2 linked regions of the Notamacropus eugenii genome follow. The protein of the gene in region 2 interacts with the protein of the main gene of each other region in a pairwise test. Links are inferred from orthologs where the notes say so. Each region holds a gene or a part of one and is shown on either strand. Other genes may lie near its edges.

The links.
Region 1: the proteins of TRIM54 (region 2) and NGLY1 interact in binary tests that used the Homo sapiens proteins (3 or more experiments, as listed by UniProt). The two-hybrid records come from large-scale screens. The link is inferred for Notamacropus eugenii from reciprocal best matches to the Homo sapiens genes TRIM54 and NGLY1.

Annotation. Positions count from the first base shown.
Region 1 is NC_092874.1:28,791,314-28,798,949, forward strand, and holds the start of NGLY1 (peptide-N(4)-(N-acetyl-beta-glucosaminyl)asparagine amidase), read left to right. Parts: upstream 1-4,579; 5' UTR 4,580-4,614; coding exon 4,615-4,751; intron 4,752-5,530; exon of another isoform or gene 5,531-6,597; intron 6,598-7,636. UniProt on the Homo sapiens protein: Specifically deglycosylates the denatured form of N-linked glycoproteins in the cytoplasm and assists their proteasome-mediated degradation. Cleaves the beta-aspartyl-glucosamine (GlcNAc) of the glycan and the amide side chain of Asn, converting Asn to Asp.
Region 2 is NC_092872.1:528,547,976-528,555,282, reverse strand, and holds the start of TRIM54 (tripartite motif-containing protein 54), read right to left. Parts: upstream 3,011-7,307; 5' UTR 2,612-3,010; coding exon 2,444-2,611; intron 1-2,443. Other genes in the region: DNAJC5G (dnaJ homolog subfamily C member 5G), read right to left, coding at 5,892-5,977, 6,842-7,007, 7,174-7,307. UniProt on the Homo sapiens protein: May bind and stabilize microtubules during myotubes formation.

The DNA.
Region 1 (7,636 bases), on a different chromosome or scaffold from region 2:
ACACATGGCAACCTTTTCCTCAATTATAAATGAGGGGGGTGAGTAGATGATGTTTCAGCTTTAAATACTGGAGTTCATTCATCTGAGGAAAAGTCAGTTCAACAACAAATTTATTAACAGTAACAAGGCACTCATTATCAGGGGAAGATACTGTGGATACAAAAATAAAGGTTTCTGTGCTAAAGAGTTGATGATATAAGAGGAAAGATGCGTTTACAGATAAGCATAATACATATGCAAGAAAGCCAAAAGTTCATCATTATGGGTACTCCCTCCATAGTGTTGACCTGAAAACTTGGTTAAAGAAAAGGCAACAGGCTAATTGCATACATTTTATGATTTAATTAATTAATCAATCAATTCCCTATTAAAGGTAACGGTAACATAATGCATTATGGAGCCAGAAATGTTCTGGCTACCCAGTGCAGAAATCTTCTGGCTTATATACATTATGCTGTGAGAAAGGAACTTTCCTAGTTGAACAAATCATAAATTTAGTAAGACAAGACAATTAACAAAGTAATGTTGGTCAGGCCTTGCAATTCCAGCTGGGTAAACATATGTCTCAGTGACGAGAAAGGAAATCCCACCACTAGTGAGTGGCAGGCTTCCTGCCCTAAACAGATAACTGACATAGGAAAAGGCTAAACAAAGTTCAATAGAAATTACGACCTAAGATGTCTATTTTTCTTTACCATTAATATGCCATAACATAGTATATGTCTATAGATAATAAGATACAAAGGAAAGCCTCATTATTCAAGATATAGTGTCTTAGGTTAAAGGTCTTCTTAAGGAGTGTAGAGTCGGCCTTGGCTGGCTTTTGCTGACATAGGAAGAGGCACTCTCTGAGTTTGCTTCAGAGAGAACAAAGAGATTATTCTAAAATTTTATATTAAACATTATCAATAGAAAGAGATCAAAACCCTTTCTGACCTTGAGAGATGGCTAATAGGAGTTACTGTGGACTAATAATTCATTGCTTGATGGCCAACCTTCTGGTGATGAACATCTCCAAATAAAGCTAGGCTGGGAGTCTGTTGTCTACTCATATTTAAAATCTTTCTGGCTCAGTAGTGTTGGCAGAGTCTTTGCAAGTTTACATTCTTTTCCATTTCATAGAGAGGTAAGAGTAAAAATTTAGTAGGTTCCAGTCTCTGACTAGAGAGATGCTTAGAATTATACACATGTAACAATGTCAATAGGGAAGTAAAGAGGTGGGAGAGTGGGGCAGAGCAACACAAAAACAGAATATTTATCATGTTAGGCCTATACTCAAGCTGAATGATATTCCTGACAGATTATGAGGAGATGTTGAAAGAAGGAAAAAGAATATGAAGTAGAAAGAAAGGTAGCGATCACTAAGTTTTGTGTGGTTTTGTGTTTTGTTTGGGGTTTGGTTGGTGGGGAAGGATTCAGAAATGTGAGCATGGAAGAACTCCCATTAGGGAAACTCCACCTATGAAACTCAGCAAATGTAACCCATAGTTTTGGAATTGCCTGGGGCACTAAGAGGTTAATTGATTTAGCCTTATTCACACCACTAGCATATGGCAGAGGCAAGATTTGAACCCAGCTTCCAGATTCCAACACCAGCTTAACCATTATCTGTGGTTCTTGGACCATATAATCACCCAAAAAAAGAGGTACAGGGATAGGATATAAAAAAGGTTCAAGGACAACACCTGAAGAGCACACACTGAGAAGTTTCCTGAATGTAATCAGAAATAATAAATCAATTTGTTAATCAATTTGTTAAGCCCAAGAAAATATTACAATGACATAAGAAGTAGGCAACTATATGTAAGACTAGGGATTTGCTGTGGAAATCATTTAATCAACAAGTGGCTACTGTGTGCCAGGCATTCTGCAAAGAGCTGAGGAAAAGAAGATCAAAAGGAAGTAGTCCCTGCCCTCCAGAAGCTTACAATCTTTCAGGGGAAATCACATGGACACAAAATAAATATAAAATATGTACATAGTCATTGGGGAAAGCACAGGGGTCAGAAAAGTCTTCATGGAGGAAGCCCTCTCTAGCTCAGCTTTGAAAGTAATTATGGATTCTAAGAAGTAGGAGTGAGGAAGGAATATAGCCCAGTAGGGGAGGAAGCAGCCTGCACAAAGGTGTGGAGACTGAAAATGGAATGTGATGTTTAGGAAACAGCAAATAAACCTGTTGGGTAGGACTGTAGAGTGTGTGAAAAGGAGAGCTGTGGGCCTGGAAGGATACTGTGAAATCACAGATTTAGAGCTAGAAAGGATTTTGGAGGCTATCTGCTTTTAGAGGTCATCAACATCATTTTACAGATGAAGTACAGAAAAGTTAAGTGACATGCTCCAATGTCTGAAGGAGGATTCAAACTCAGGTCTTCACGACTCCAAGTCTAGTGCCCTATCCCCAATTCACCTGGATGTCAAGTGGTGTAGATGGAGACTCTGAAGGACTTTGAATTATAGAGGTGCTGGTATTTTTTCTTATCAGCAATAGGGAGCCACTGGAGCTTTTCCCTTTTTTTTCTGACATGGTGCAACAGCTTTAGGAATGTCACTTTGTCAGTTCTGAGAAGGAAGGGCTGGAGAGGAGAGAGACTAGATGAGGAAGCTATTGCAATGATCAAGATGAAAGGTGAAAAGGGCTGAAACTAGGGCAACAGTTGAGTAAGTGCAGAGAAGATGCCAGAAGTTGGAGATGTTGTAAGACTTGGCCGCTAGCTGCCTATCAGAAATGGAACATGACTGAGGGTGTGAACCTGGGGGACTGGAAAGATGGTGGTGTTCTCGATACAAATAGGATGATTAGGAAGAGGGGTCAGCTCCAGGACAATAGAGGAAAATGGGTCATGTACAGGACACCCAGTACAGCTTGTTCAGGGATCAATTATAGATAGAGGACTGGAGCTCAGGGAAGAGATGATGGCCATTGTAGACGCAGAAGTTACCTGCATTGAGATGACAGGTGAACCCGTGCAAGCGATGAAAAGTTAGAGGGCATCGAGGACCCAGGACAGAGTTTGAGAGAGCAGGGCCTGAGTGGTGATCCAACAAAGGTGGTCGTGCTAATTCCTGGACTGGGAACATGGTAGTGATAAGGAGACTAAGGATTTGATTGTAGAGACGGAGTAAGGCAAAGTGGTAAATTCTAGAATTGATGTTTGCAAGGGAGGAAAAGGAAAGTGAGGGCAGAGCGGGGAGAAATGATGGGTACAATGAAGGTCAAAAATAGGTTTAGGAGGAGCAAACCATCCTAGGATAGGTTGGAGAAAGGACTTTCTGAATTCCTTACCATGGAATTGAATCAAATCAGGAAAAGTATAAGGGGTGTGTGTATGTGTACTCTCTCTCTATATTTAGACACACCATATGTACGTTCTGCATGGTTACGTAGACTGTTCCTAGATGTGGATCTGGAGAGAACCTCAGAAACTGTCCAGTTCAAACCCTTCCTTCGACAGAGGAGACTGAAGATCAGAAGGTTTCATATTTAATCAGTGACAGGGTCATTCACTCTTATGCCAGAACCAAGGATTTTTCACCAGTCATCAGAGGGTCATGTCTGTCATTTTCTGACCCGGGTTTTAAGACCGGGACTAGAGGCTTAGCAATGACTGCCTTACCAGGTCAGGGCTTCAAGGCGGAAGGGAGAAGAAACAGACAGTAAACTACAGGTCTAGCCATTAACCTCATCAGAGGCTTAAACCCAGCCGTGAAATGAGATGGAGCCCAAAGGGAATGCTCTCAGGGAGACGACACACACAGCAGGGCCTGGGGTGGGGGGCGCCGGCGGCCTGGGGGTTCAGGAAGGCCTTCTGTGGGAGCTGGTGCTGGAGCTGAGCCGACTCGAACGGGGGATGCCCCGGGGCAGAGAGGAGGGAGGGCATCGCAGACCGGGCCAGCCTGCGTGAAGGCAGAAAGGTCCAGCAAGGTCACCCGGGGCCGGAGGGGCCCAGCGCGGCGGAGGGGCCCAGCGCGGCGGAGGGGCCCAGCGCGGCCGGAGGGGCCCAGCGCGGCCGGAGGGGCCCAGCGCGGCCGAGGGGCCCAGCGCGGCCGGAGGGGCCCAGTGCGGCCGAACCGGGGCTGGGGGGGCGGAGCGGGGCATTAATGGGGTACCAGGAAGGCTGGAGTCTCCGTTGGGAAACATGTTAAACGCCACAGTTCGAGTTTGCTTCGGAGCCACCGGGGCTTCTGAGCCCCGCTCCTCTCGGGGATCCCAGCCCAGCTTTGGCGAGCCGGGGAACGATGCCCATGCTAAATGCTGGGCTGGCATCGCTGCCCGGGGACGGGCGAGGGGGCACTGAGGGGGTCCGGGCTCCCGAGGGGGAGGACGGGCTGTTAGGTGCGGGGCGCTGCAGAGGTCCGAGCTCTCCAGTCCGGGTCAGGCCCGCCTGCGGCCCCCCGGGAGCACCGTCCGAGGACGCGGCCCCAGGGGTCCTCGGGGTCCCCCCAGCCCCGGCCCGGGGCGGGTCAAGGACGCGCCCTCCCCCGCGGGGTGCCCGGCGCGCGTGGCCGCGGCCTGGCGGGCGGGGCGGGCGCCTGCTCAGTGCAGGGGGCGGGGGCCGGGGAGGGGGGAGGGGGAGGAGGCCGGGCCGAGCCGAGCCGAGCCGCAGCCGGAGCGGGATGGCCGCCGCCGCCGCCGCGCTCGGCCCCGCCGCGCCCGCCCTCTCCAGGGCCGTGTCCGAGCTGTGCCAGAACCCCCGAGAAACCTTCCTGGAGGCCTCCCGCCTGCTGCTCACCTACGCCGACAACATCCTGCGGTAGGACCCCCGCCCCGCCCCCGCCGCGGGGTCACGGCCGCACGTGGTCGCCGGGCCGGGCTGCGGGGGGCCAGCCGGGCGGGGGGGCGGGGTGACAGCGGCGCGCGCCCCCGGGGGCCCGGGAGGGGGAGGGGCAGGGGTCCGCGGTGCGGCGGAGCCGGGCCGGGACCGGGGAGGGGGAGAGGGGGAGGGGTCCTTGGTGCGGCGGCGCGCGCCCCCGGGGGCCCGGGAGGGGGGAGGGGGTCCTCGGCCCGGGGCCGGGGAGGGGGGGAGGGAGAGGGGGGGGGTCCTCGGCCCGGGGCCGGGGAGGGGGAGGGGGGAGGGGAAGGGGAGGGGTCCTCGGCCCGGGGCCGGGGAGAGGGGGAGGGGGGGGAGGGAGAGGGGGAGGGGGGGAGGGAGAGGGGGAGGGGTCCTCGGCCCGGGGCCGGGGAGGGGGGGGGGGGGAGGGAGAGGGGGGGGTCCTCGGCCCGGGGCTGGGGAGGGGGAGGGGGGAGGGGGAAGGGGAGGGGTCCTCGGCCCGGGGCCGGGGAGGGGGGGGGGGGGTCCTCGGCCCGGGGCCGGGGAGAGGGGGAGGGGGGGAGGGAGAGGGGGAGGGGTCCTCGGCCCGGGGCCGGGGAGGCGCCGCCTCTGCCTTAATGATGGGTGCCCGGGACACCCGGGAGACGCGGGGAGGCCGTGCGCGGAGGTCGGGCTGGGCGCACGTCCCCTGGCCCCCTCTTGTGCGTCTGCCCCCGGGCAGTGCCCCCCCCCCCACCCCGCCTTGGGCCCTCGGTTTGATAAACGCGCCCGATCCCTGCCGAGAGTGGGACAAGATTCAGAGTCACCGCTGCGGCTGCCCACCTCGGGGCCTTTGCCCCGGACGGTGTACGGTTACTTGGGCACCGCTGGCCGTGTAAGCCGGTGTGTGCGGGCCTGCCGGGTGCCAGAGGACATGCCACCCTCCCGTGCCCGCTGCGCCCCACCTGCCCAGGAGGCCCGGGGCCGCGGACAGTCACCCCCAGATCCCCTTTACCCCCGCCCCGAAGAACCGCGGACTGCTTGGTGCCCCTCCAGCCGTCTGGGCATGGAGCTGTTTGTAAACAACTTGGCAGCGTTATCCGGGACCCGGTTCTTGTCTCAGCCTTAAAATGAAACCAAAACGCTTAGAGCAGATACCCCTGATCAGTGAGATGTCTGCCTGGTACTACCCCTGGCTTTGGGGGGCGTTCTGAGGTGTGTAGGTATTGATCAGCACGTTCACTGAGGTTCTTCTGAGGCCTGTGCACAGGCATGAGTCCCAAGCTCCCCCCACCCCCCGCTGTGTGTGTCTGTCTGTGTGTCTAATCGAGAAAGGGGACAGGATTCGGGGTGCCTAGGGCAGGTGCAGGAAAAGCCTGGGAGTTGACATTTAACCTCAATTCTTTCACTTCCCCGACTAGCCCCAGCCTGCAGGTGCTGAGGGGCCCTTGGCCTCGGCCCAGGGCCCTCCTCAGGGGCTCTGACCCCTTTCTTCCAGGAGTGACCCAAGCAGAGTTACCTCTTGCATTTACAGAAAAGCCTCCAGATTGTTTTTATTTTTTTGTACCTTGCCTGGATGCCTCTGGCAGTATGACTGCACCGAGGACTCTCCCTCCTTACAGAGCTCTACAGACATTGAACTTCAAACTTCCAATACAAAGTGTGGACAGATCTTCACCTTTCTCCATTAGGATACTAACTCACAGATTTTTGTTTTGTGAACTGAAAATCCTAGAGTCAGGGAGAATTAACCACAAGATGCCACGGTGTCTGCAACATCGACAAACTGGTTCTGACCCATTTGTTTTACTTCATGATGAGTGACTAAAGCTTTACTAAAGACAAAATGGTAAATGACTTGCCAGAAATGAGTATCTTAGTAGATCGGGAAGTATTTCTGGACCACCCAAAGGAGAGCTTTGCACTCCGGTGCTTAATAAAGTTAAAAAATCACCATTTAAAAAAAGTTATAAGCCCTGCCGGACATCCTCTCTGTCAGCTGCCTTGCCCTTTTGGACTTTGGAAAGAGGAGCCTTCCATTACGTTTTCAGCTCTCACTCCATTTTCACTCAGATGCCCTCTGGCAACTGAACCAGCCAGCCACTGATTGTAGCTTTGTCAGAAGTTCAGTGATCTCTTAATTGCTTAATCCAGTGTCTCGTCTCAGTCTTCATCTACCTGCAGATTTTGATGCTGCAGATGCTTCCTCCTGGTTCTCTAGATGGGCCTTCTTTGTGTCCCTTGAGGGAAGAGAATCTTTCTGCCAGTGTTGTTCTCTGTCTCCACACCAAAGCTTGTGCATCCCCAAAGGCTGTCTCCTGAGCCTCTGATTCCCTCCCTTAGTGATCCAGCATATCTTGAAGTGTTTCCCCCCATTAGAATGTGAAATTGTTGAGGAGAGTGACTAGCTAGTATGCTTTCACTTGGAGCCTAGCACTTAGCCCATTGCCTGGCACATAAGAATAAGTACTCTAGCTATTTCAGCTGCTCTCACTGGTTCCTTGATCACTTCAAGTGACTCCCAAAGCTGTACAGAGATCACAGAGTATAGAATTGGAGATTTGGAAGCCACCACTGCCAAAGCTGTCTCGTCCAGCCCATACCTGAAGGGCATCCTCATTATTTCATGGACAGGTGCTTGTTCAGCCTCTGCCTAGAGAGCTTCCATGGAAACCTACTGCCCCTCGAGGCAGCCCTTTCCATTTTGGGGCCAGCTAACCTTGAAGATTTTCCTAATACCCAGCCTAAATTGGTGGTTTTGCAGTTTGCATTGGCATGGAGTTTGATACCTCTTCCATATAACAGCCTTCAGATACTTGAAGGCAGCTTTCATGTCCCCGGAGTCTTTTTTTCTTCAAACCGAGTCATTTCTAGTTTCTTCTTCCAGT
Region 2 (7,307 bases):
TAGGAAGAAGTATAGACAAGTTCACTCTCTCTCACTGTACCTGAAAATAGATCTGAATCTTGATCTTTAAATTAAAAAAAAAGTTTTTTTCAGCCCAGGTTATCAATGCAGGGAGGCAGACAAAAAGATCTAGAGATACTGCTTGTGGGGGCCTATCCTGGATAAAGCATTCCAGTGCAAAGAGAGACTGTACACCAGAGCAAGAAGAAATTCTAAATCCAGTAAATGGACCTCCAAGTGTATAGGGTACAAGAATAGCTGTCAAATGGCAACTTTTTTGCTCACTACATAGTTTCAGGTCACAGATCTAAGGTTGACTGTAGAGGGGACCTGCACTAGGAGTAGTATTCCAGGGTGAGGAGTGGTTGTGGACTTGAGACTATATACTGAGCAAGTAGCAGCTCTGTGGCTCTGACCTCAGGAGAAGAGAAGGATCTCTGTTCCAGTCTCCAGTCCCATCTGAAGCCTGCAGAGGAATCACCAAAGGAGTTTGCAGTTCTGTCCCTCTGTACCAGAAGAATTTTCCAGTTGGCTAATAGTAATTGAATTCAACAGTAGAATACTGAAATTAAAACTGGGGCAAGCTCACAAGTGAGTTGCTCAGATCCAAATCTAGGTCAGGAAATTGCAGAGCTCAGACTAGGAAGGAAGAGAACAGATTTGCCTTAGAGCAAATGATTTTGGGACCACAAAAAGCTTGCAGATCCCTAGCTTCTACTGAGCTGGAAGATCTACTTTGAGATCCTGAAATAACACAAAACTCAATACCTTCAAGAATGCAATAGTAAGAATCTAGAGGATTCAAGGTCAGCTCAAGCATTTTTCTCCAGAAGAGTGCAGGATCTAACCCTAACATAAAGTCTAAAGTCAGGAAGCAGGCTGGAAGAATGAGGAGACATAAAAAGATGTAGCAACCACCATTATGAAGAAGCAGAGAGCTTGGAAACAAAGTATTCCAGAAAAAAAGAGGATATGATCCACTTGCCAAGTAGACGTACCAAGAATAATTTACTCAATGAAACTTAGTATAATCCTGCAGGGGGGTGGGGGGAAAGGGACATTTAATGAGAGAAGACTTCCAAGCATTCCTGATGAAAAGACAAGAGCTGTATAGAAATTTGAAGTACAAATAAATACATGAGTCAAGAGAAATACAAAAAGGTAAACATGAACAAGCAATCATAAGGGATAAGGATAACCTGTTTACATTATAATATGAGAAAATGATGTAAACGTATCTTCAGTTCCCTATCATTATCAGTGGTCTGAGATGGCATCTAATTAGACAGAGCGCTTGGGAGTAGTTCTGTTATGGCTTATCTTAAAAGAACAAAAAGGGGGTGGTTAATAAAAGGAACGGAAAGGAGAGAAAGGATGGGGAAAATCTCACATCATCAGGGTACCCAAGTAGACATCTATACAAACAAGGAGGAAGGGGTGGAAGAAGCTGGTGATACTTGACCCTTTTTTCTGAATTGATCAAAGGACAGAAAATGCATACACACAGTTGAGTACAGAAATGTATTTCACTCAACAGGGAAACAAGAAGGAAAGGAAAGATTGGGAGGGGGAGAATAAAAGGGAGGGTAAATTAATAGAGAGAGTAATCTTAAGTAGAACAAACATTAGCTAAGGATGTACAGAAATATTGATAGCAGATCATTTTGCAGTGGCAAAGGATTGAAAAGTGAGGGAGTGTCCACCAATTGAGAAATGACTAAACAAGTTATGATGTATGAATGTGATGAAGTTGGTGCTATAAGAAATGATGAAGAGGATGATTTCAGAAAACCCTGGGGAAAATTGTATAAACTGTATGTAGATGCAAAGTGAAGCGAGCAGAACCAGAACAACTGGTTCAATAACAAAAAGACTGTAAAGACAAACAACTTTGAAAGACTTAGGAGCCCTGATAAATACAATGATCAATCATGATTCTAGAAGATTCTTAAATGAAACATGCACTTATTCAGAGTGCAGATTTAGACTTTTTTTTTTTGGACAGAGTCAATATGGAAATCTGTTTGGCTTCACAATATGTTTTTATTAAAGGACTACTTTGAGGGACTGGTCATTCAACCAATTTTAAATCTACTTAACCATACTTAACACCTAACCCACAAATCTGGTATTTATCTTGTCTGGTATTTTGATTGTTTGTGCATGGCACTCTACTAAGCACCATACAAAACAAGTAAAACCTGTGTTGTCAACATTCTTATGGTTTGTGATCTGCTTAGACACCTTAGGTCCTTTTCTGTTCAGCCACAAGCTGGCCACCCTCATGCATCTTACCTCTTTCCTAAAGCTTCTATCCATCTAAAGCAGTGTACCACGGTAAGTGGCACTTGTGGATCCAATTTTCAAACCCCAACTTTGATAGCATAATCAACGGGTCCCCTCTTCTTTCCCCACCACCCCCAACCCCAGACTCTGAGCCCACCTGGAAGACGTCATTGGCACACTTGCGGCATAGGTTGTGTTGGCAGGGCAGGATCACCACTGGCTTGGAGAACATCTCCAGGCATATCGGGCAGATCAGTTGCTTCTCCAGGTTATCCATGCTGTGTGCATCCCCCAGCAGCGGCTTGAAACCCACTGCGAAGTTCATCCCCTCGGTGGTCGTGCCCACCCCTCTTTGGTCTTTTTTCCAAACCTGGCTTATTCTCTCAGCTATGTGAGTCTGTCTTCAGCTGTTGCCCCCCTTTTTTTGCTACAGCCTGTCTAGATTTTTCTTAAAAGTTGTTTCTGTCTCCTTGTTCTGTCCCTTAATCAATCCACCTCGTGGCCCCTAGGCAGCCAATTGATTTTCTCTCTCTGGAGAGCTGTTTTTTAATCTTTACTTTTCTACTCTGAGTGACCAGGCAGATTAAGAAAATTTTGTCTTGCCCTTACACTTCAGATGGCTCCCCCCTCACTCCTGGGATAGTCTTATCTCCTGCTCCCCAAATGGCCGACTATTGCTCACAATTTAGGCACTGCTGTTTGTTCCTTAATCCTAAAGCAGGAGACTAATTTTAACTTGGGGATAGGGGAGACTAGGGGCATTCAATGACACAATCTCTCACATTCCTATTCCCAATTTAGCTTGTGTAAGGGGAGCCACAGCTGTCACCAAACAAGTGACCCTGAGTCACATAGACTAGGGGCTGGAGGAGGGGCTAGAGCCTTTGTGGGAATAGGGGGCAAACCTGAGCCAGAAAAAGAGTTTGGAATACTTCAGTCTCTCACATACCAATTCTAAAAGGGCTCCCATTGGTTTTTACTCAGTCATACTCCAGTTTGGGCCTTATCCTGGACACAAAGACTATGACCCTACAAATAATCCCAGTGAAGGCATCCAGCCATGGCTCAGCAGCTGGGAAGGCCCAAGAACTGGAGAGTTTTGACAAGGACAATGGGAATTAGATATATCTTGGACCCGCCACAGTAACCCTCGACCTCCTTTCTCTATCCACATCTTATCAGATTCATGGCAAAAGATAGTCCCTCCCCTGTTTTCCCCCAGGACTCTGCCTAAGTCATTCTGGAATTTGATATCCAATGAACTGGTGGTACCTAGATTCAAGGACAAGTTATTTCATCAATGTGGAAGTCATTCTACAGTTACAGATCACAACTCCTCCAGAATTACTGTGACCAAAAAACTGAATCACCTTGTTGTGACCAAGCTCATGATGAATCTCTTGGGCCTTAGCTAGGTTAGTCCTCAGACATATAGAGAATTTATGTCACCAGCCTATACTCAAAGCTTTCTAACTTTGATAGGACCTAGCAGAGCTTGGGTTCTGCTGGCATAGTCATAAAGAATCCAACTTTGCCTCCATTTGACCAGTGAGGCATCAATCAGACATTATTGCCTACACTGATGAAGTCCCAATCAAGGCCTGAAATTTATTTCCTGGAGTGCATTTTTAAGACCGGATAGATTCATGGACCAGGCTCTTCTTCTCTTATGCCTAGTATTTGAAAGGATTTCTCTCAATGTGGAAAAAAATTGCCCTCTTCTATTCATGTGATGGGCTCAGCATTGGCACTATGGGGGAACATATAGTCAAGGAAAATAAATAGAAATAGGCAGTGGAGAAAATATAGTCCCATGAACAGATTGTCAGTTATAGTAAAGCTTCCATATCTGGGGGGAAAGTTAAGAACTGAGGTGAGTATAAAGAAGATTTAGGTACTTGTAACCCATTTTGGGCATAGGGGTCAAAGGTCTTAAGGAAAACAACTTTAACCCACTAAGAAAAGGCATAACCTCGAAGCTCTATAAAACTGCCAAATACCACCAAATTAGTCATTAAAGTTGTCAACCCTGGTAGCAGAACCCTGGTACTCATCTCTACAAACTGTTTCTAGGCTGTCTTCTCTGTCCCCAATCCACTGCACAAAGTTTCTTTATTCATTGATGTATATTCAATCCCAGTGCTTCCTGCTCCAAAACAGTGCTTGATTCTTTCACTTTAAGTTAAGGGGAGGCTATATGGGCTGGCCCTTGGTGGAATGTTTGTGGAAAGCAACTGAAATGGGTCCAATACTTTGGCACAGAAGACATAATAAAGGGAAAGTTTTGTGAGAAGTACTTTTTCCTCCAGGATGCAATTAACACCTCTGTCTTGGGAATAAGAACCTTAGGGAAGAAGACAGACTATGTCCCAAGAACACCATGTGGGTAAGGCTGGGTGAATGCTGGTAGAAAGAAACTAGAGTATTTGGCAAAGCATCGTAACCTTTTCTCCTTCCTTCCTTCTCATTCTTGAGAGCTGAGTCACAGTGGAATAAAGTGGTTCAGATACAAAGGGTACTAGGAGGCAAGGGGAGATGGGGCCCACCCCAGGAAGGTCAGCTTAGGACTCAGCCCAGCCATGGGATTCCAGATCCAAGGGAATGGAGGGAAGCATCAGTTCATGCATAAAGTCCAAGTACAGAATCTACCCTGCAAGGTGGCTCCTGCCCTGAAGGGTGTGGGGTGGAGAAGGAGAATAAACATTTATATAGTGCCTACTATGTTCTAGGCACTGTGCTGAGTGGATGTATATGTATATATACACATACATGCGCACATATATATGTATATATGTGTATATACATACATATACATATATGTATGTATGTATAATCACGACCACCCTGTGAAGTAGGTACTATTATTTCCCCCGTTTTACAGTTGAGGAACTAAGGTAAACAGAGGTTACATAATTTGCCCAGGGTTACATAGCTAGTAAATATCTGAGGTCAAATTTGAATTCGGGTCTTCATGACTCTAACCCAGTGCTCTTTCAGAGGTACCACCAGCTGTCTCTGAGGGAGACATTATCCCAGACAGTTTAGAGACACAGACCCCAGTGGTTACCATTAAGTTACATGGGAACAAGACACAATTCTTTTGGGGAGAAGGCAGCTCTGTCAGCCCAAGATTTCGCAAGGTTGAGATGGCATGAAATACATGGTATTGTTTCCAGCTGTATTCAGATTTGGGGCCAGGTTAGGAAAGTTACATAGGGATGGTGCTTACAGTGTTGGGATTTATAGTATTCTAGCCAGATCTGGTGATACTGTGAAGGTCAGGGAAAGAGTTCTCATAGGGAGAGGGCCAGAGTTTAGCAGTGCTTATAGCATTCATGGTGCTTACAGGAGCAGGGTTAAGATCAGGACTGGGGTTAGAGGTCCCCTTCTTCAGTGTGTACAGTAGACTGTGCAGCAGAAGACACATTCACAGGGTCAGCATCTGGAAACAGAAGAAGCAAGTACCATATTAAGATGAAACCCTTAAAGTAAGTATACAGAAAAAAACCCTTTATTACTTAACTTGTAATCAAGATACAATAAAGTTATATACTTTTTTCACTAATTTTTTGCCTTAGCCCCTTTTCTTCTCTTCTCCTTGAACACTATTGTTTGTCAGTTTCTGCATTTTGTGCCTCTTCATCTTCATCCATTTTTTGGTTCAGATTGGAGAAAGCATATTCAGTTCCATCTATGGAATTTGGAATACAAACATTTCTTTAAATGAGCTACAATTCCGGTCTTAATCTAATACTTAATACCATTACACTGAAGTTATTCCTGAGATCCTGAGATGGCGATGAGGCAGAAATTTAAGATCACTTTTAGATTAAACTGATCAATCAAATCAGTTGACAAACATTTAATTTAAAAAATTAAAAGCTGGTTATCTTTTGAGCAAATATCAAAAAGTATATCTCCTAACCCACCTTCATCTATGACTTCTTTTAGGCTCACCTCCCAACTCAGCAAAGACCCTAGACAGGATAAGTATCATACTCAAACTATCAATAAAGAATATATCCAGGAAGCCCTAGACCATACTGTGCCTCATCTTATTCAGCTATTTATCCAGATCATCTCACCATATGAGTTACTGGCATTCCTTTCCTCCCTCACTTTTCCATATCTAACGCTTAGTAATCAAATCAACAATACCACCCTGCTTTTGGAAAGGGTGTGTCAATCAAGTGTTCTATAGATCAACTCAATGTCCCCTTGACTCCTCGAACCAAAGCTGCCTTACCAGGACACCACTTCTTTGAATGTGTTATCTATTAGAAGTTTCTTGAAGGCAGAGACTATCTCATTATTTGCATTGTCGCTCCAGTGCTTGGAGTAAGCACTTAATAAATGCTTTTTCATTCACTCAAATTATATGCACCTTGAAAAAGCATCAGATTCTATACCCTGATTACCTTTCAATCTGATCCCATCCCAGATCTCATTCTCCTAGCTTTAGGGGACCCCAGGTTCAGAGATCCCTCTCATTTCAGACCTTCCTACCTTTACTCTTGGCCCAGATCTCACCTTGGCCACTTTCCTTTGGCCTCACCTGTCCTTGAAGGTTGTTTCTGCACATCTGTGCCTGCATGTTGTGTTTGTAGATCCCTTCTACACTTAAAATCGTCATATTCTTGTGGTACATTCATCCCACAGCAAAAGCAGCAGCAGCAACAGCAGCAGCAACAAGAGAGAAGTGTACACAAGAGGAGAAGGCACTGGGAGATTGGGGAGAATGACTTCAGTCCAACAGCTTCTCTAGTGTTGTCTATGCTCCCCCACCCCCAAATTCCCTAACGCTGACAGCAATGGGGCAGCATGCTCAGTGTATGCATAGGCATCTCTGTTGCCAAAATACTGGAGGGATTTCAAAGGAATGCATACCTTGAACCACCACTTGGTCACAATGAGGTAGATTTTGGCAGTGTCTGAGCCATACTGGTTAGCCATATATAGGCCCATGGTACCGTACATATTGTAGATCTGACGCTGATCAGGATCAGCGAGTATCGAATGAG